Drosophila melanogaster: one gene and its partner. The protein of the gene in region 2 purifies or fractionates together with the protein of the main gene of each other region. This does not show direct contact. Each region holds a gene or a part of one and is shown on either strand. Other genes may lie near its edges. The genes, in order: Sf3a1 and Sf3a2.

Region 1 (12,224 bases), on a different chromosome or scaffold from region 2:
GAGTACCTATTTCACCTGTGTGGTAGCTACCTGTCCGATTAGATAAACGCAATTGGCACTGTGTTTGCGATTGCTTTGCTTTTTCAGTTTGCTGGCGTTACTTTATTTCTGTTTTGCAGTTATCACAAGCCAGGAAATTCTTCGCTCATGAAGCAATCGTTAATGGCAGCTTATTACATAAGGACTCGAATATAAGAGTTAATCGCGTATTTTTAGGCCGTGATTGTGGGTCAATTATTTACCGCCGTGTTTCGAGATTTATTTATTGCTTTCACTGGCATGACATCAGATCCTAAGATACAGATGTCTGAGACATATCGTTGGTATGTTGATTTACGGGCTTAGAAGAACCGATGGATTGGTTACCTTGTGTGCTGCCCACTGTGCTCTTTATTTATTTATTTGCTCTTTTTTCTCGACCCGATCTACAACTCTCGACCCGCTGTGAATCGAATTCCAACTCCAACTAACTGACGTTGGCTGGCCCAAAGGGAATGGGAATCGGCGATATCAGCTGGCTCATTAATTGATTGCCTGAAATTGCGATGGTGCGTTATCGCAAAAGCAAAAGTGTGCCTTATCTCTTGGTGCTCATAGGCACTTTTTCAATCTTATCTGGAAGCAGAGCAACAAATACAAATACGAATACCATTCCTTATGAGAGAGTCTGCTACCCTTGGGCCTTGATTTTGATATCGGCCCACTGTGGGATCGTATGAAATGGTCAGCAGTTGACCCTGTTACCAACAACAAATCTTACTTTCAATTAAAGATAGTAATTACTAGGAATTTCTTTAAGTTCCATTAACACATTACTTAAATAGCTTATTATTGATTGGCGAAAAAGTGAAAGTGTTCTTGAATAAAACTTAAGTATAAGTTTTATATCGCAAAAATGCATCTCTATGGTTGTTTTAATCTTTACAGAAATCATTAAAAACGTCTTGATGACTATTTTTCAAAAAACGGAAATGAAAATTACTTATGTCATGACGTGCGCGCATAATTTCGATCAATTAAATCTACATACAACTTACTTTATATCTTATTCTACTCGTATTATCATATCATGTATTTTGTATGTTGCCTATGAATCATTCCTAACTTAAGAAAGTCCTTCATCATAAATAAAGAGCTTTAAAACAATCATGCTTAGGGTCTGGGGTAACTATTTTATTCGTTTATTGGCCAATAACTTTTATTGGAGCAAATTGTGACATTCTTGCCTTTTAATGACTACTACTTCACGTAATAACAGAAAAAAGCGACCCTCATTACAGTTGAAAATGGGAATTGTTGAAAATGGAAATACACGTACCGCACTGTCCGCAACACTTTCTGCAACAACTTTGAGTATAGTAATATTGCGTGACTTTAACGATCCGCTTCTGAATTGAGAGTTATCAAAAGTGTCAACCAGACACAATTGATCTGTAAATTCATGTCTATGTCATGTAATTCTACCTGTAATTCGATGTTCCCTTAGACAAAACGTATAGTTAACAACCAATATAGCAATAAGATAATAAGAATCAAGATTGAGGTATTTAATGAGTTTTGACTCTTATATATATTTTTTTTTGGTTTGGAAACAATCTTAAATGTGAGCAGCGTTGTTTTGTCAACCTCTAGACGTCTTCACAAGAGACCATTTGATTTCTGTAAGGAAACGCGAAAGAAAAAACAATCATTAAGGTTGTAGATAATTTTGGTTGCTGAGCTTATCACTCCAGTACTCAGTATAATATCAAATGTGAATCAAATTGTGTACGGACTGTGACTCAAGCGAGTGACAGGTGATCTATTATGATTTTTTTTCCAATACTAACCTGGCCGATGGCAACTGGAAGATATTCTGGGGAACAGCTGAAAGGCCGGAATTCAGGCAAAGGAGTTTGGTTCCATTGAAGTGGCGATATTGCTCCACCAGTTCAGTGTGTTTTTGGACAGCTTTTTGCTGGTTTTGTTTCAGAACATGTACGAATTGCTCAGCTATAAGAAAAGTAATTGAGTGATATATATACATTTGCTAGCAGTATAACTCATACAGATAATGCAACTGAAGGTGGGGCCAATGGATCCATGAACAGGATTCTCCGAAATACCACCCACAATGAGGTCCACATCAGCCCAACTGGCGTATATTGTTTTCAGCTTATCCAAGACCTTGTTGAATGAATATTTTAAAATTATATTAAAAAAAAATTAAAATATAAATAATAAATAAATAAAAGACCTACATCACTGGGAATGAAATGCTCAAAATCTTTCCAGCTTTCTACGGGTCTGGACAACACACACGATTCCAAGTACCGATAATATGGCAGCAGACCGTGATCTCTCCCCCTTTGGATATCGAAGGCCAAAATATCGGCATGGGTTGGCTTGGTGTCCTTGTGCCAGACGACCTGTTAGTTAAAAAATGAATTTCAGAAGCTATAAAATATCAAAATCATTTGGCTTACACCACCGGAGTAGGCAGCGTCCATCTTCATGGTCTCCTGATTGAGCAAACTCTCAAGGATGTTATTCAACTTTTGGGAAGTGTACTGCAACTTTGGTTTGTAGATTTCTTCCTTGAGCTCAAAAAGGTTTTTAGTTGGTAGCTCCTTGCTAATAAACACATATTGGTTGTTTCTGTAAGAAAGTTAAATGTTATTAAAAGTTTAAAGATTCTGGCCAACTTGTCGTATTAGTAATTTATATGGAAATGAATTTCTTAATTTATTCTTCATCAGATTGTGACACTCACTTCTCAGTACCGTAGACTACGTTATCCTTGGTCAGATTTAGGAGCTCATTGGGCAGCATAGAGAAGTAAAATCGAATGGCAGCCACCGCAAACTCATTGGAGACCTCCAAAGCACGATTAGGCTGTTTTCTCCTAATCTCACTGGACATCTTCTGGCCGAGCACCTCTGGCAGCCACTCCTCAATGACCACTCGACGATATATATCCACATTGACTGCCTTGGCAGCTTGGAAGAGCTTTTCATCGCTCCACCGGGGATTCCTTTGCTTCAGCTCGGCAGCCACTTTGTTGTGATTGCGCATGAAGATCGTGTAGATCAGTATGGAGAACGGACTGCTATTCACCCGCGAATCTCCGGCAGCAAAGCAGGTGCCATCACCAATTGTTGCCCTGGCGCAGAACGATGGTCCTTCCGTATCGGTGGCGATGGGCAGGAGGGCGTTGTCGAATTCTCCACGAGGAGTTGACCTTAACAAACCGCCCTCGAGAACACGCAACTTTCTCTCCGCCGCTGCGGTGAAACCATAGAGTTGCGATAGATCCAAGGACCCCGTGGCCTGGTTGAGCTACATACATATAATAGAAGTAAGCAATCAGTGATATTTTTACATGGTTTTTCACAATTGAATTCTTCTTACTTGTTCGGCGCCACCGAAATTGCAATCAGCCACGGCCAGAGCACTTCGCACATAGTTAAGGCAGCTGGGCACGTCGTATTTCCCACCGGGCTGGTACAGAATCGGAGCACATGCCGGGTGGTGGTGACGCGGCTGAAGGTTGATCTGGTCACGGCTGCAGCACTCTATTGGGGCTCCATTGCCTGGGAACGGAGAAATCGTTAATTGAAACAATTTTAACAATATAAATATATAAATTGATATACTTTGGTTTTAAGTATGTTAAGTACAAAAGGAAGAGGTCATCATATGAAACTCACTCATTGATTGCGACACCGGCTTGCTAAGATCATGCTCCACAAATTGAGCCCACTGAGGGAGGGCCAAATTGGAATTGCTTTCGAAGGTTTGTTGTTTGGAGATCTGAATGTGATCGGGCTCATACAGCTCCTTACTAATGGACCACGCAGCCGGCACTGTTTCGCGTCTTCCGGAATTGGGAAACATCTAAAAATACCATATAAACCATTTAATTCATCTTCTACATCCTGTTTTTCTGAGCGGATCGCACCTGATAGAAACCGTTCCTGTAGTGGCTGCTCCCAAGTAGCCTTCTGAAAGCATAGTGACCCTCTCGATTTCCCTTGAGTGAGTTCTCACACTCAGTTCGCAAGCTACTGCCCTCCGGAAGTGGTTTTTGCTCCAGGTAACTGCGGCACTTGTCTCCATCGATATTATTAGGCAGGCATTCGCTGTTGAAAACGAGCAAGCTGGACTTAAGGATCTTCAGGGCGAGCTTATTGTCCTTCTTCGAAGCTAGGCTTGGTAAAGTATCCAGAAGTTGAGCGTGTGAAAGGCTGCCGTTCTTAACAGTGATATCGGAACCTAATAGATTGTCCTCCAGTCTGAAAAAATGGTTAAGTAATATTATGTAAAATATAATGTTTAAATTTAAGCCCGAATACGGAAATATAAGTCGCGCACCAAGTTCAGCAGAAAAGTGTCACATCCTAAACATATCAGCGTAAGTCATTAAAGTTAACTGGTTTTCAAAGTAATCAGTTGTACAAACCGCTTTTGCCTATTTACTGAGTCCAACGCCGTTTCTACATATTGCAACCATTTCGAAGCAGGAATCCTGTTTAATTCGGCATTAACATCTCGGCTCGCTGAAGATTCATAAAATGATACAAATGAATTGGTTAAATTTAAGTTTATTCAGATGGGTAGTTTAATTTATAATTTTCATTATCATCATTTCTCTTGGGAATCTCAATTTCTAGGCGCCGTTTTAAGTAAATTGACTCATTTAAAGAAAACATGATTTATATCTACGGTATAATTGAATTGTTCTGGAATATTCCACAAATTGTCTTGTCAACACATTAATCAAGACAATTTAAAAGTACTATATCAAAGGTAACGATACAATCATAAAAAATGGCCTTTTGTGAATGGTTTCTATGCAGTCGTATTGTTATTGAAAGTGTGAATACCCTATTAAAGAGATATTTACCTGAATACAGTATGCTAATTCAAGTGAAATATCTCTGCATCTTACTCGAAAAATAAACATCAATTATTTCTCACGCTTATAGAAATCTATTTGGATCCGATCAGTAAACAATTGTTGATTGGGAATTCTTATTCAGCGATAAGCCCTCATATATGCGAACCTTGGGGTGAGCTTTTGGAATTTATTGGAATCTTTATCAACAAGTATATGCAAATGGGGTTTTTTGAATGTAACAATTTAGTAATGTTTATTACAATAAACAAATGTGAAAACCTGGTAAAAACCAATGCAGTCATTCATGATGATATAACGCTTGAGCACTCGCAGAAAGTGGAAAGTACATTTTACATTGATCAATAAAACAGTTTCCCATTTCTGTATATATTTTTAATACTTGTACTTAATTACAGGCTAAATAGTGCGTAGTGATTGTGGAAATTTATCGCTGTGAGACGACCAGCCTCCGCTTTACGAATGTCTTTCTGCTTTATCAATTAAATATTTATATACTTCAATAAAGTTTTTATTATCATAATAAACCGAATAACAAGCTATAAAATTAATAGGTTTCCCTCTATTTGGTCTACTTTTCTACACGAAGAAGACTGTGCTCTCTTAAAAGAAATTAGCACGAGAATGAGATACTTGACACCAAAATGTCTCTATAAACACAGAGTTTAATTTAAATACTGCTAGCGGACTCACAATTAGCATCGATTGTTGTCAATAATGATGCTCCTATTATGAAAGCCAGCAGGCAGATGTACTGAATTCCACCCATTGCAGTGTCTTTGTTCTAGAACTCGGATTTTTCAGCCACCGGTTGTGATTCACAAAATACCCGCACGTCAATGGGATTTAAGTCACGTCGCTAGCTTGTGATAAGGAAGTGATCCGAACTGCGACTCTATCGGACCTAATCCGCGCTTTCAGTCCAATTAAACCGTGTCGACGGCTCAGCGATTCGTAGACTACTGAGCTTGGGGGCAAATCTCGACAGAATCGAGTCGATGAGAATGAGAATGAGTCGGGTCGTTATCACGCACAAGGGAACCTCATCATCTGGATAATCATCATCATCATCATCTGGCTATCGTGCTGGCAGCAGACTCTCTCAGCGAATGAATAAAGTCGTACAAACGTAAACAAATGTTATTTTTGTTTTGGCTTGGTGAATCAAGCCACCCGTACAAAGCCGTACCAACACTAACATAATATGCAAATAAAGACCTCATCCGTGGGGTTCAGTTCTGCCCACGCCTTTGTCCGTCCATCTACTGATATATATGTAAAGATTTTATAAGCCATTATTAACGCCTGAGTTGATGGTTTGTCCGACAGATTGTTTAAATCCAGCGCCAAATTAATCGATAGGCTGAGCCAGTGGTTCACTAGTTCCGGCTTGAAACTAGTTCGTTTATTGAGTCACCCTAACATTACTACATGAATGTAAGAAAACTATCGATGGCGGTGGCAACAGTCCAACGATTGTTCCATCCCTATTCCTTCCACCTCTAATTTTCGGCTAAACAAGCGTTTTCTCATTTCTCAAAAAGCAATCAGATTTTATCAATAAAAGAGGACGATTTCACCAGCCATGGCAACTTTAGACGCGGAAGCCAACGAGGAGCAGTTCGGCAATGATCAGCCCAAGTCGATGTCGGGTCCAATCATTGGGATTATCTATCCGCCGCCGGAAGTTAGAAGCATCCTTTGCCAAAAAGAAAACAAACTTTTTTCTCAATTTAGCCATTTTTTACTCAAAATACATTCATTTAATACACATTTAGCGTTTCCCATACTCAGTTATCAAAGCTTTAACTATTAGATATCGTTGACAAGACCGCCAGTTTTGTGGCTCGCAATGGACCGGAATTCGAGGCGCGCATCCGCCAAAATGAGCTGGGCAATCCAAAGTTTAACTTCTTAAATGGCGGAGATCCCTACCACGCATACTACAGACACAAGGTCAACGAGTTCCGCGAGGGCAATGGTATGTTTTCGTTCACTTCCCATTAATACTTCCTCTTAATACATGAGACCGTTTCAGATGCCGGTATCACTGCCCTTGCCAGCATGAAGCAGCTGGCGGTGACCAGTGCCGCCCAACAGCGCCAGCAAGAGCTTCTCAAGCAAGTGGTGGAGCAGCAGTTCGTACCAAAGGAACCTCCACCTGAATTCGAGTTCATAGCCGATCCGCCCTCCATTTCGGCGCTGGATTTGTAAGTGTCCACTCGCCAGGAAGTTCCAATCGCTGTCTTATTGTCTTGCATATCTTTTCAGGGACATTGTGAAGCTAACTGCTCAATTTGTGGCCCGTAACGGCCGACAGTTTCTGACCAATCTTATGAGCCGGGAGCAGCGTAACTTTCAGTTTGACTTCCTGCGACCCCAGCACTCGCTCTTCCAGTACTTTACCAAGTTGCTGGAGCAGTATACCAAGGTCTTGATACCTCCAAAGGATTTGCTGGGCAAACTGCGTTCCGAGAGCGCACCGGGCAGGAGCAGCATGAACCAGGTGCTGGAGCAGGTTAAATATCGGGCCAACTGGCAGCGTCACCAAGAAGCACAACGCCGCCGTGAGGAGGAGAAGATCGAAAGGGAGCGCGTGGCCTATGCCCAAATCGATTGGCATGACTTTGTGGTGGTGGAGACGGTGGACTATCAGCCATTCGAATCGGGCAACTTCCCGCCACCCACGAATCCCGACGAGGTAGGAGCCCGTGTGCTAATGGAAGAGCGTCTAATGGACGAAGAGGGCGATACAGAAATGCAGATCGAGTCGGACGACGAGGGCGACTCCCAGGCTAACAACCTATTGGACAGCGGTCTGAAACTCTCGCAAATGGAGAACCGTGTGGGTATACAAATGAAGAACGTATCGTCGTATGGCCAGCCGACTGGCCCCAAGAGAGACAACACCCAGGTGCAAGACATGGACGAAGCCTCTAGTGATGAGGACACTCCAACCACTAAGTTGCAGCCATCTGTTGCGCCAATGCTGCCGCCCACCCACGACAAAGTGGTGGTCAAGAAATACGATCCTAAGGCAACGCAACCGAAGCAGGCGCCAATGCCTACGGATGAGTATCTCATCTCGCCGATTACAGGAGAGAAAATACCGGCTTCCAAGGTCTCGGAGCACATGCGCATCGGTCTATTGGATCCACGCTGGGTGGAACAGCGAGACAAGCATACTGTGGAGAAAATCAATCAAGACAATGTGTTCGCCGCGGGCACTGCCATCGAGGCGAGTCTCAAGCAACTGGCTGAGCGTCGTACGGATATCTTTGGTGTGGGCGACGAGGAGACCGTCATTGGTAAGAAGCTCGGCGAAGAGGAGACGAAGAAGGACGATCGCGTCACCTGGGACGGACACACGTCCAGCGTGGAGGCGGCCACGAGAGCAGCACGTGCAAATATCACTCTGGAGGAACAAATTCATCAAATCCACAAGGTTAAGGGACTGCTGCCCGACGAGGAGAAGGAGAAAATCGGCCCCAAACCGGTGGGCAACAAGGCGACGCTTTCAGCTCCGCCGCAGCCGTCAACCAAGTCGCAGCACAGTCACTCCAGCCAGAGTCAACACCACCAAGGTGGCGGAGGTGGTCACCACGGGCATCATAATCCTCATCATCACCATCCACCGCATCAGCAGGCGCCACCTCACCAGTCGCACCACCATCACCCGCCGCAGCAGCCTCAACCGGTGATGCAGCTGATGCAACTGCGTCCAACCATGATGCGTAAGTAACAAATAGTATGCAAATCTCGTCGAGGGCTTAGCGTTTTTATTTTGCAGAGCCGCCTTTTGGAGCTGGTGGTGGAGGCTACATGAACATGCAGCCTGGTGGAATCCCTCAGCAAATTGCACCTGCTCCACCTGTTGATATAATGGAGGAGGAGCCGCCTTCTAAAAAGATTCGAAGCGAGGACAACCTGATTCCAGAAGCAGACTTTATTGCCACCCACAAGGTAAGTTTGATTTTGATATCTGGCTATCTATTGGTATATAACCCATCTTAAATTATTTCAGAGCCCTGTGACCATTCAGGTTTTGGTACCCAATTCCGACAAATCAGAGTGGAAGCTTAATGGACAGATGATAGCCGTGACCATGGCACTTTCTGAACCCATTGCCAATCTGAAGACGAAGCTGCAGGACGAAACTGGCATGCCACCGGCCAAGCAGAAGATATTTTATGAGGTAAGAAATACAACTAATGTTTCGAAAACTATTATTTCAATAACATCTATCCTTCAGGGAATGTTCTTCAAAGACAGCAATACCATGGCTTTTTACAATCTGGTAAACGGAACCACGGTGCATTTACAGGTCAAGGAGCGTGGTGGACGCAAAAAGTAGGCGGATCAAAGATTAAAGGCATACCAGACACAATAAGGAGTGGGCCATATATAAAAATTTATTTGTATATGGTTTCGCATAAATTTGTAATAAATCGTCAATCACAGAATTTGTTAATTGCACTTAAGTTCTGTCAATTACAGGAGACGTTTAAGAAGGAATCAGTTTGTGAATGTACGGAGTATAAACTGGAATGTTACGTTGGGCTTTCGGAGAGTTTATGTGTTAGGATTGGACAGGACGCGCGCCATTTCGCGATATCGTTGTAGCATTGGAGCGTAGATTTCCTCGCTGTCCTTGTGTGGTTCGCATACAAGGCTCAGTTTGTTACTTGTCAGACTTAGGATATAATCTCGGTAACAGAGAGGCGTCACCCCATCACCTGCCTCTTGAAGGTACAGAGCGTAGGCGGATCGATAAGCGGCTCCCAGTAGGGCAGCCTCAAATCCTTCATCCTGCAAGAAACATGTTGCTTAAATTGCTTGCACTTGAGAAACAGTTGGTATGAACTAACCTGGATATGGACGGGAGCATTGAACACATCGGCAATTGTTTGCAGGATTGATTTGTTAACAGATGCGCCTCCTGTGACAAGGATTTGTGTCTCGGGTCCGAATTTGTAGCCAAGGTCTTCAGCCACAGCCCGGTGATGCAGCATCTGACCTTCAACTAGGGCTCGAATTTCGATTTGGGGCGAGCTGAATCTATAAAGCGAAAGAGGTCAGGAATATTTTATACATTTTAAAGAATTCAGTAGAAGGGAAATAGGCATTAAGAAAAAGTATAAACGACAAAAAACATGATCATGTTGGTAAAAAGTCATTTCTAAAAATAACTATTTACAGATGTCTGTTAACTGATTATGAGTCATTGCTTTCATGTCGGACCTAAAACAGCTAAATTTTCAATCAGACTTACTTGATTACACCCCTAGCCGCGTCCGGGGAACTGGGATCCATTTCCCTGTTCCATCGCAGAATACCCTGCGCCTTGGGAATGATTTCCATGTCGTTAAAGTGCACGGCCATGTTCCCAAAGTTTCCACGGGGCGTGGAGTCGAGATACTCATTGAATTTATCCCAATCGCCGCCGGTTGTCTTCTTGTTCATTTCCTCACGGACCAATGAAGCATTTCTAAAACTGAAAAAGACATTTAAATAAACTAATTTTAAGATATAATGTCCCAGGAATAATTTACCATAGAAGGCCCATGAATTCTTCCGTTTCAGTTGGATGGCAGAGTATATGACCCTCCTCCCAGTTTAGCGGCTCCTTCAAGCTCATCATTAGGGTGTCACTTGTGCCCATGGAAATGGTAAGCCAGCTGCTGCCCACCAACATTCCAGACAGCGCCGAAGGATTGTCCCCCGTGCTAGCAGCCACTTTGCAATCGGGCGAAAAACTAAAGCGCTCCACAAAGTACGGAGAGACGTTGCCTAAAATCGAATTTGGACTGACCGGAATGTCCAGGCGCTTGTCCAAATCGGGTGCACAAACATTTAGGCATTCTTTGGACCAGTTCTTCTTGCGGATGTCCAGCAGATTCATGCCGGAACCATCACTGAAGTCAATTGGAGCGACGGAGCCCAGAAATAGCGATGATATAAAACTGCTGACCAATGAGATTCGGTTGGCCTCTTCGTAGGCGTGGCAGCGTTGCTGATATATCTTTCTAATTTGGGGACCCGTAAAACGTTCGTAGCACTTCGAGCCCGTCAGTTCCACCATGTTAAGTTTGCCACCAACAGCCATCTCCATCTCTAGGCACTGTTTGGTGGTGGTGGCGTCCATCCAAATCGGAGTACGATTTACCACAAAGGCGGAGTCGTCGATTTGTGCGTGAAGGAACTTCTCGGAATCGAGGTTTTGCAGCGTGTTGATTCCATGTTTGGACCAGTAGAGCGATCCGTGCTGCTGTCCGGAGCCACTGATGGCAGCTACGGTGCTAAGATCCGCTTGCTGCATAACCAGTCGGTCCAGGACAATGTCCATGGCCTTCACCCACATCACTGGTTGTACAAAGTATCTAAAGAAGAACAAGTAAAGGTGGAGTCAGGTTAGCACATATATATTTTATAGTACCCATTGTATATATGGTCCCTGTTATAGGAAGGTTAAAAAAAACTTGAAGTGATAGAGACCCATTGTGGTGTAATAAAACAACTGCTATGAAATAGGGCCCTAAGTATTATCGGACAAATACCCCACAGCGCAAGATATAAAAACGTAAAATATATCCCCCTATTTGCTTTACGCAAACAATCATCCCATTAAAATCTTCAATTGGAGTAATGGATAGTGGTGAAACAGACTCACTCATTTTTGATGGATCCAGCGTTGGCTCCACCGGTGGTCCGGAACTCCGGCAAGTCGGTGTCGAATTTCACTTCAGCCGCGGCAACCACCTCCAAACTGGAGCCCAGCAGGACGGCTTTGAGCTGAGAGGAGTAAATGGGGCAGCAATTAGCGATATGGAGACACACCTCGAAAATAACGATCAAACATAGAGGGCAACTAGGAGTCACCGCCAGCGTCATTCAGGGATTGTGAAAGTTATTGCGGCTCTATTAAGATAATGTCGGGGGCCAATACCTCCGAACATGAATTTCAATAATCAAACCATAATAGTTAAATCGGTTGGCGCTCGCGTCTTTAGCAGATAAGCGAAAATCGAGCCCCGGTCACCGCAACTGATAAGAGTAGTTCGTGTTTCAAGTTCCCGAGTACCGTTTGACCTTTTCCAGTAACACCATTCGCACGCAATTGGCCCAGATGTAGTCGATTTGGAGACGCCTCCACATCTCAGATGCAAAGATACTACGTAGGCAGTTCCAGTTCTCACCTTTTGCGTGCTCAAGTCGAAGCCAAGAAAGGTTCGTTTCAGCTGCTTTGGCGGACCCATGTTCAAACTGCTTCCGGATCTGTTGGGAGTTGGGGAAATTAAACACAGCACCGCATGCGGCACTGCCCGAT
Region 2 (10,177 bases):
ATAACGACATCCGCGGGGGTTTCGAATGCCAGTGTAGTGACCACTACTCCAGTGCAGGCGCCAACAGGTATGTTGTATCTTTTCTTACTCTGCAACATCATCCTAATTGTGTTTCCACATAGCTCTTTCCGTTTCCGCTGGCCAGCCCTTGGCGACACAACAGGCGACGGGACCGGGAGGAGGTCCTCAGGCCTATGTGGCTACTGTATTGCCACAGAGGCAGCATCAGGCTACACTAGTTTACTCCTCCAATGTGTCTGCACCGAATGCAAGTCAGAATCCGGGTCAGCAATTTAATCCACGCTTTGCTGTGGCCACGCCCACAGGCGGAGTAACAACAACGACGCCCGGTGGAACGACAGTAACACCTCGACAGGTGCGACCAATTCCGCTGGGCAAGAGTTTTCCAACCGCTAAGCTGAACACAACCAGCATAAGTATCAGGGCACCAAGCATACCGCAGCTGAATACCAGCGTTACGGCATCTCCAACGGCCGTTAGTGTTTCCGGTGGAGCAACAGTGGCACCCGGGCGGGGTCCCGGAGCCGGAGGAACTGCTCTGACGGCCACTAATTTGCCCACCACACGGATCATTCAGCTGCAGCAGCCAGCGACGGGAACCACTCAACAGATCATCGGATCCGGAGCTCGTCTGGCCGGGAACGTGATGCTGCAGCCATTCTTGATGAGCACTACCGCGGCGGCTAAGATGGGTAAGTTAGTACTTATAACTGGAATACTCTAAAATGCTTACTAAAGAGCAAGTCATCTAGTTTAGCAATCTGTTAAGCAATAGTCAATTCAGTATTTAATTTTTATAAAACTGAAACTTCTGCTGTTAAGTATGAAACTATCGATAAACCACGTTAACTGTCATCTAGGAAGCAGAGAATCTACTATCAATTCGTGTTGAAATAGGGGGACCCAATTTTTATTTCAATTGTTATCAACAGCTTACGAACTAATATCATTCAGTTTAGTCAACATCCAACAATCATCAGCAGCATGCTGGCTTTCGAGAAGGAGATCGTGGAGAAATCTAGATATTTTGATCTAATCACAAAAGAGTGTCAGGATTACCCTATGGCCAAGACAATGCCAGTTCTAAAGCAGCCCGAGAATTTCCAGGAACAAGAGGAGGACGTTGTAATGGCCGTGCAAGAAAAACTCAAATTTTTCCGCAAACTAACCAGCAATGGTCCCGCAGTCCCGACACCGCTTAAAGTCGTTGAAAAGGAGGACATAGGACATAAGGAGATACCAAAGGTGGTCAAGAAAGTTGACCGTAAAACGAAACTGCTGCAAGCCATACCAGCGGTCTTCAAACATAGCCACAATCGACGCTTTCGAAGATCCTTATTTTTAAGGTCCAACTATATCGAGCAATTTCGGCGTTGGACGGATCAAAAAAACAAGTTAAATAGAAAGCGCTTGAATGAAGCACATCAGTTGTGTTTAAAAGCCAAACACGAGCGAATTGCCTGCGAAATCGATAGATACAAGAAGCTGATCCTTAAGCAGTCCGTCCATGTGATCGAGGACATAAGAATCAGCAGCGAATTGATTCCGCTGACCAAAGAACACCATGATCGGCTGATGGAACTATCTAAGTATCCACTGCAGCAGGTAATTGTGGCCAAGTTCAATTTGGACATCTGCGGCAGTGATATCAAAATCCTGACCAGTGGCGGCTGGCTCAACGACAAAATAATCAACTTTTACATGAACCTACTGGTCGAGCGATCGGAGAAGCGTCCTGGTACAGTGCCCAGCGTGTATGCCATGAGCACTTTCTTTGTGCCCCGCCTGCTGCAAAGTGGCTTCGATGGCGTAAAACGCTGGACTAGAAAGGTGGATCTGTTTAGCATGGACCTCATACTTGTGCCTGTTCACCAAATGCTCGTTCACTGGTGCCTGGTCATAATCGATTTGCCTGCGAAAACAATGCTCTACTACAATTCAAGAGGCCGCGGTGACCCGAATCTGATGCGAGCACTAGTGAAGTACCTTCAAATGGAGTCGGAGGACAAGCTCGGGCTGTGTTTGGACACCAGTGAATTTCGCATCGAGGATGCCCAAAATGTGCCGCAACAAGACAACATGAACGATTGCGGCGTGTTCGTCTGCATGTTTGCAGAATACCTAACCCGGGATGCTCCAATAACGTTTTCCAAGAAAGACATGAAATATTTTCGCACTAAGATGGTTCTGGAGTTGACCGGCGACCAGCTGTGGAAGTAGGTGTTCTCCTATATAGAGTTTACTTTTTTATGGATTGAACTGAGCTGAGAACTATACAATAAGAACAAAAATAAAATAGTGTTTGAAAATTTAAGAATTATTTCGTGACTTGTTCTTTTGTAAGTGGAATATGATAGGAATAAACCCTACCACAATTAAATGAAATAATAATAATATATCTTTGAAACCATCAATCGACAGGCATTCGTCCACCTGTCACCATGACCGCTAAGGTTCAGCCATCGCTAACTATTACACAGCTTAATCCCATCGGAAAACTGTCAGCTGGCGGAGGAAGTGGAGGACAAACAATGGGGCCGCAGGGCGTGGCCAGCATCCAGGCGGTGCCAGTGCCGAATGTCTCTGCCAGTGTGGTCAATTCAAGCTCGGTGACGGGTGCCACATCGGCGGCCGGTGGAGCCACTGTCCTGCCACTTACCATCAGTGGCAGGGGAGCGGGAGTGGGACCAGGCGGTAATATCCTCACGGGAACTCTGACGCCCATCAAGAACGCAAGCGGCATCACTTTGGGCAAGATGATGATGGCACCAGCTTCTTCTGCCCCTGGAGCAGATGGTTCCAGCACAAGCGGGGCAACAGTGACGGGCTTTCAACGCACCTGGAATCCTGTAGTTGCTTCACAGAGCCAGTTGATGAAGGTAGGTTTCAACTATCTACATATATGATGCTTCAATTAACTATTAAAACTAAATCGTTATACAGATCGATGAGAAGGGAAGTGCTGCCACAATCTACTACGAATCTATGCCAGCCTCCGCCTCCACAGGCGTTCTATCATTGACTACGACAACAGTGACGCAGAGCACCCAGGCGCAGGCACAATTGGTTAGCAGCGCCGGTGGCAGCTTGTCGGTATCTTCGTTACCCTTTGCAAGTCACGCGACTGCCGGAGCGGGATCAGGTGGCGGCGGATCGCAGGCTACTTTTACGGTGTTGCCGTCGGGGGCTGGTGGAACAGCCACCCGAACCATTGGCCACCAGCAATTGATAATACCAGCAGGACCAAATAGTGCGCCGCCGCAGCACATGGTTATTCCGCTGCATACGTCCGTTAAGGTGACCACGGGAGCGGGCAATCCGCAACAAGCAACTGCAAGTGGAGCACTGGTGTCCAGCTTTATGCGCAAGCGGGATGCGGAAGGTTCGCCAATACGGGCGGCTAAAAATCTAGGACCCACTTTGCTTTCAATGGCTAGCAATAACAGTGGACAAAACATGCCACCGGCTCCGGGCACCACGTTCAACATTCAGCCGGTGTCCGTGACAGTGCCTCAATCAGTTGGCTCTGGGCTGACCGTAGAGGCGCTGGCCAAGAAGGAACGGGAGCGAGTCACCCATGGTGTAGCAAGTAGCGCCGCTAGTGTGCCTGCCACAGTTGGCCCCGTGAACTCAACGAGAAATTCGAGGGCGGACTCGCCGGCTTCGTCGGACGGCTCAACTACAGTGTCGGCGAATTCCTCACCTGGTGTGGATCAGCAATTACAGGACAGGATTGGCGATCAGCCAGCCACGGGAGGCGCTGGTGGGCGCGATAATTCCACGCATTTTAATCCCATTAATGAGGTGTGTACACAACAATCAATATATGCTTAAGTATGGCTTTAATATTTGTTCTTCAAAAGATGTACTCATCACACCAATCGATTCAGCAGAACCTTGGTCACTCCTCACTGGGAGCCCGCAGTGGTAGCAGTGCCTTTGTGGATGTGCAAGCACCAACGCCGCAGCAACAGCAGCCTCAGCAGGTGCCTCATTTGGTGGGATCGACGCAGATGCAACAAGGAACGCGTATGAATGGTACTGGTAATAGCTCCAGCTCCAGTTATGACTGCTCCTCTAGGAAAAAGCCGCGACGATCGACGTGAGTTATTTGAGTGGTTGTATCAAATGATGCATGTTGATAATCTGATAATGTATTTGCCAGCAATGACAGCCAGCACTCTACGCAGAGTCAAGCATCCTTATCGCTGCCACCTCCAAGTTCGGAGCCAACGCCGCCGGCTGGCGCTTCGTACATGCAGAAGCACAACAATGGAGGACTACTGGTGACAGCAGCGACCCCGGGTGTTGCTCCCAACAGTGCGCCAGGCGATGCCAACCACCGGAACAGTACACCTGCTGTGGCGGGCAACAAGGAGAACGCAAATCCCGTCGACTTTGTGATTCGTCGTCCGCGCAATTGTGCTTTGCTCAATGTAAGTTGAAGGTTCAGTTCATTTTGTGGTAGTTAACAAATGATTCCGTTGATCTACAGACGTATAAGCCCACACATAAGTTGGCCAACAATCATTTTCATCGGTACACTGATGTTAAGCCAAGGGAGGAGCGGCGGGCCACAGTCATTGATCTGGCCAATCAGCCAAATGTGCAGGGCAAAATCAATGGATGGAAAATTTATCATTTACGCTCGCAAATGGAGGACTTGGTAAGCAATGGGCACGAAAGTATTGGTAGGCTACTTTGACTGAACTGATTTCTTACAGAATGAATCGGAAGTCTTTAGTCTGGGCAGGCTGGAGACCATGCTGCAGGATCTCGAAAAGGACAAGGAGAAGCACAGCGAAATTGAGCGAGTCACTGAACTGCTAAAGGTGCGCTCTTATACTTATATCCATTATGCTTGAATCTCAACATAAAACCAATTTACTTTGCAGGGAAACATTCAACGCAGCAAGATTATTACCGATGGCATCAACGAGGCACAGAATCAGTTAATGAAGATCTTCGAGCATAAGCCACACGTTTCTAATATAATCACCCGCTGCGCTTCGAAAAGGAATTTCAAGAAGCGCGAAAAGATCTAAAAGTAATTGACGAACGGAGATGGCCAGCCAAGTGTGTATTAATAAGTTGTACATTACCTAATTTAAGCAGAAATTATAGAATCCAAGATAATTACCTTAAACGCGATCGATTTGTAAGTCGTACAGCTACAAAGAAAACCAGCAATATTTTTTCAATTTATTAAGCTAGAAACACAAATACAAAAACCCTCGAGTTGTATTAAGTAGAAAATTGTTTATTATTTGAATATTTCTGTGGTAATCGGCTTGCGTTTGGAGAAATCCCGTAAACATTGTCGATGAATTAGTTGTTTGAAAGCATGGGTGGCGGTGGATGAACGCCATTGAACATGGGATGCATAGCAGGACGTGGCGGTCCCGGCATGGGGAATCCGCCTGGGGGGCCTAGTGCCCTATGTAGATTCGGCGGCGGTGGCGGCAGGATCTTAGGTTCGAACTTGAAGGCGAACTGAAGGAAGAACTGCTTGGTGTCACGGTTCCAGTGCGTCCAGAACTTGCCCTCACTCTTCTCCACTTCGCGGGACGGCACCTTGAACCCTATGGTCTCGTACGGCTCGGCGGCAAAGAGAAGGTACTGCCACTTGCGGTCTGGCGGCTCGATCTTTTGCTCGTAGGCGGACATGAAGCGGTGACGCGGAACAATGGACTCCGTGATTTCCGGGTAGTCCACCTGAAAGAGCAACGACTGCTGGCCGTTGCTGAGTTCACGCTGCTTGGTCACCCGGTAGCCGGGTCGTCCAATCTTGACGAACTTCTTCGGTTCCACGCGGGGCTTCTCGGGCGCCAGCAGCGAAGAGGGTGCCTCCTTTGCCTCCTTGGCGGCTCTTCTTGCCAGATTATCCTGATGCTTCTTGCCCTGCGTGTGGGCCAAATAGCTGCCCTCGTTGTTGTGCAGCGTCAGGCAGAGTTTGCACTCGTAGGAGCCCAGATGGTTCTTCATGAAGTACGGATCCTTGTTCAGATCGATTGTCTCCAGGGCCAGTTGACGCAGTCGCTCCTTGCGGTCGCGGTTCGTCTCCGACCAGGAGGCTACGCCTCCGCTGCCGGTCTTGCCGCCGGCGCGGTTTTGGAAGTCCATTTTGTAAACTTTATTTTAGTTTTCAACCGCACGAAGGAAAAACGTTTTGCGTTGGTAAAATTTCATGAAAATTTGTTGTACAGAACAGGGTTGTCAAGAAACGCCAATTCGGTTAGGGGTGGTAGTTTATCAGAGTCAATCGATAGTTCGTGTGCAGGATTAAAGTATTAAATAAATAATAGAATGTTTCATAAATCCATTAAAATTCTTAATGATAGTCAAATTTTTGCAAACTGTAATATACATAAAATAACTTATATATTCCTTTTGCGATGTTTTTTTAAAGAATTACATATAATATTTTGGTATATTTTCGTTCCGAAGCTTTGAGAATATTTTACTTTTTCAAAGCGGTCACACTATTAATTCGAGCTGCACATGCTTGATCTTTTTTAGAATTTAAAAAGTGAAAAATGTCTAGACAGCGATCTAAACTAAAGTAAACTAGTGTTGGTGACAAGTACTAGGCCTCGAAAAGCGTGTTTTATTTAAATGTCACTGCGTGGATTACGTCGGACTTGAGAAAAATCGAAGCAACGAGTGTTTAAGAATTTCGATTTCTGTCGTCATTTTCGTGGAATAAACAGTGCCAGTGTCTTATGCGATTTTTAAAGTAACCGCGAAATGGACAACTCCAGCAAACAGGTCATCATGGGTCCACCGGCGCCAATGACCACCACTTCTAATCAACCGAAGCCCGGTAATCCCACCAGCGCCCCTCCTCCACACGCCACCAAAACTGCTGCAGCTCCGCCCAAGCGAATAATTAAGAAGATTCAGCTGGATTTCAACAAGCTCAAGGAGGCTGGACTCGATAGGCAGCTGGCCGAGGTGCTTAGGAAGCAGAAGCTGGATGCCAAGAGGGTGGACGCCCCATCGTCCACCAGTCTTTCCACCTCTGCCGCAGCGCAGTCGACGCCAACTGCGCCAGAGAGCAAATTGCAGTCGCCACAACAACAATTGCGTCAGCCTGGTAATGCATACTTGTATATATATATATTTGCTTTAAGCTGTGCATCGCCCAAAAAACCGTTACAAACCCAGGGGTTTTGTACCAAGTGATACGAAAATCGTCTAAATGCTTCTACGAGTTTTGGGCACAGTACCGAAAACCAAAACGATGGTGCAACTGATTGAGACGCCGACAGATTGTCAAAGAGTTAGTTTTTGTATTAATTGTTCTGAGTTCGTCTCGCAGTGAGTGCGGCGCCTTCACTTTCTTTTCGTGTATCTCGATATATTTTATTTTTTACGTATTTCGAATGGCAACCTAAAATAATTTTTTTTAGTTTAAAAAAGTCTATTTTTGTTAAAAATTCAGGTCTATAGGTTAGAAATATTAGGATGGCTAACCATCTGTATCTGTATCTGAACATCTACAATATGTTCACTTGTCAAACAGGACGTTATTATTTCCAAAACATACTGCCAATAAAATTTATATTGAATAACATAATTTGGTATTTAATTATTTAAAACGATCGATATTTTAATAAGCCAAGAGAATCACATGTTTTACAAGGATATTTTATGTATATTTTAATATTCTTTTAATAAATAAATTTAAAAAACCAAAAAAAAATTAATTCGGGACATTTAGATTAGTTGGTACTTTTCTTTGAAATGAGATGAAATATACTGCTAATACTAGAACACTTCAATATTTTTGTCGTTGTTGTTAAATGTAACACAAAAAGTTTTTAACGAAAACTTTTTTTTAAATTTTAACAATTGAATAATGAGTTTAATCAATAATCATTTAATTTTTGTTGTTGTGTGATAGAGTACTAACTACGTAAAGCCATAAATTATGAAAATTTAATTGGTCAAAAGCAAATAAAATTTTACACTTAATTGTAAAATAGGGATAATGAGCTTAATTCATAAATATGATACCCTTGAAAGGGTAAATATTTTTTTTGACTACTCGTCTGGCAAACTAGATTCAAGACCCACTCGTGCCACAACAATTCGTACTCTTTCGGTGGTTCAATCGTCAAGTGCGCGCTCAAAATGAGGTTAGGGACGAAGCGTCGATGCGAGGCAACATAATTCCCTTTTTGGCCCGGGTTCAAATCCCATTGCGGTCAAACTGCCGTTTGTGTGTGCGATTGTTTTTGCTAATACATGCTCTATATGGTTTTATTTAATGTTTGCTTTAACAATGAATTGCATCTTTTATGTATAAGATGGCTTATTTCGCTTTAAAACTGTGCTCCTTTAACTTTGCTCCTAAGTTCTTCTGCTTATAGTTTCCTTTATTAATTATGTTTCACTTTTATAATTTTTAGCACCTCAGCCTCTAGTAAAGCGTTTTATGATCTCGGAACACATCGAGAAGATAGTGCCCATCCAGCCGACTCCAAATCCAACGGATGGTGACCGTTCCAAACAAGTGAAGGCGCTATTAAAGAACAGAATACTAAACAAGAGCTTAATCACGAACACGCAGGCTCAGCAGAAGCCCACAACTTCCAAAGCAGCGCCTAAGATGCCACCACCTGTTTGCCACGAAACAGCTCCTCGCAGTGGCGGGATTTCCCCAGCTCCGGCAGCCTCTTCCATGTCCATTGCCAAGGCGGACTTGACTGTCCGACAAAAGCAGCCGCCACTTTTGCTCAATTTGGTAAATCAGCTGCCCAAACATCGAGCCATGTGCGTATCGAGTGACAGTCCCTTAGTGAACCCGCACGGGACAGTGCATCAAGTTTCCCCAAGTCCACAGAGGATTCCAGTACAGCAAACTACGAATGTTTTTAGCCAACCATATCCACCTCCAGAGGTTCCTATAGCTCGAGCAGCTCCTACGGTTCCCACACAACTTCATAGGAGTCCAACACCGCCGCTAATTGTGCTGGAGCATAAGGTGTTGGCACCCAACGAGAAAATCGATTTGAGTGGGCTTCGGCTGCCCAATGCTCCGGTGGAAGCTACAAATTCTCCGGATAGCGCTGCAACACCAAATATCCAATCTAAAGTGATCAAGGGCAAGGTTATTATGAACGCCAATAAGTTTAAGGTTTCACGGGAAAAACTGGCCGAGATGGCCAAAGAGATTCGTAATCAGGCGGATCAGGTGAAACAACCTCAAGCTATGAAAACACTTAATTCAAAGGATGTTATTTCCACAATGGATACTCATTTCACTATTAACACAATACTTCAACCAAAACGAACGTCGCCCTTTTCATCACCAACTCTGAAAGGAAATATTGCTCCTTTGTATAATCCAAAGCCAAATAAAGCAACAGACTTTTCAGCTGGCTCAAGTATTCGTTCAAATCCATTACCTGTAGAATCAACAAAACAAACAATTATTGAATCGAATGAGTCTACTGAAGACAAGGCAATAGACTTTCCCACATCAGTGCCTACAACACCTGGAAATCGTTATTCGTCTGAACCAAATCAGGCCACTTCTAATTCCGTGGAACTAGAATTAGTTTCCAATTTAGAAACGGAAGGAGTTATGGCAGTTGCTAACCCAATTGATTTTCCTGTATATATTCCCTCAACTCCTGATCCGACTACCGAGTCAAGCCCTCTTAAGTCCTTTAATGAACCAATCAATTATCCAGAGGTGAATGCACTTGGATCAAGTACTCCTGTATATATTCCTATAACTTCGGAAAGAGGGCATTTAACTGCTGAGGTTACCACAGAATCGAACCTGGTTGATTTGCCTGAACCAGAAAACATACCTAAAGATATGAACGCCGACTTGGTTCAATCTGTTCCTTTAATATCCAAATTGAATAGGGAACCGAACACAGAAATAGGTGATATGCATTCTCAAGCGGACACATCAGCAGTGAGTCAAGAACAATCGAGTTCTTCTGCGGCCACATCACCAGAGCATAAAATCCAATCCGCTGTAGATTTCATAGCTCAATTGACCGCTGAAAATCCGCTCGATGAAAGCAGCTTTATGGATCTTTCACCGGAAGAGCAAAGATTGAGTGCTCTATTTGGATTTGGAGGATGTTCGTTTGCTAGTTCATCGGTTACGCAACCCGAGGAGGAGGAGCTACCC

What was found.
Region 1: the proteins of Sf3a2 (region 2) and Sf3a1 purify together in Drosophila melanogaster (affinity purification with mass spectrometry, with the first as the bait; one large-scale study listed by BioGRID). This does not show direct contact.

Annotation. Positions count from the first base shown.
Region 1 is NT_033777.3:16,996,518-17,008,741, reverse strand, and holds Sf3a1 (splicing factor 3a subunit 1), read left to right. Parts: upstream 1-6,386; 5' UTR 6,387-6,482; coding exon 6,483-6,591; intron 6,592-6,713; coding exon 6,714-6,878; intron 6,879-6,935; coding exon 6,936-7,107; intron 7,108-7,168; coding exon 7,169-8,631; intron 8,632-8,687; coding exon 8,688-8,860; intron 8,861-8,921; coding exon 8,922-9,092; intron 9,093-9,149; coding exon 9,150-9,251; 3' UTR 9,252-9,358; downstream 9,359-12,224. Other genes in the region: Irc (Immune-regulated catalase), read right to left, coding at 1,629-1,659, 1,830-1,992, 2,049-2,166, 2,241-2,408, 2,466-2,637, 2,753-3,318, 3,391-3,572, 3,690-3,876 and 3 more; CG3534 (uncharacterized protein), read right to left, coding at 9,470-9,706, 9,766-9,955, 10,170-10,391, 10,450-11,277, 11,568-11,689, 12,094-12,153.
Region 2 is NT_037436.4:12,807,764-12,817,940, forward strand, and holds Sf3a2 (splicing factor 3a subunit 2), read right to left. Parts: upstream 6,257-10,177; 5' UTR 6,145-6,256; coding exon 5,350-6,144; 3' UTR 5,265-5,349; downstream 1-5,264. Other genes in the region: Sap130 (Sin3A-associated protein 130), read left to right, coding at 1-67, 123-713, 2,443-2,900, 2,965-3,825, 3,885-4,123, 4,187-4,457, 4,517-4,687, 4,746-4,853 and 1 more; CG32110 (uncharacterized protein), read left to right, coding at 1,006-2,241; CG42588 (uncharacterized protein), read left to right, coding at 6,769-7,117, 8,436-10,177.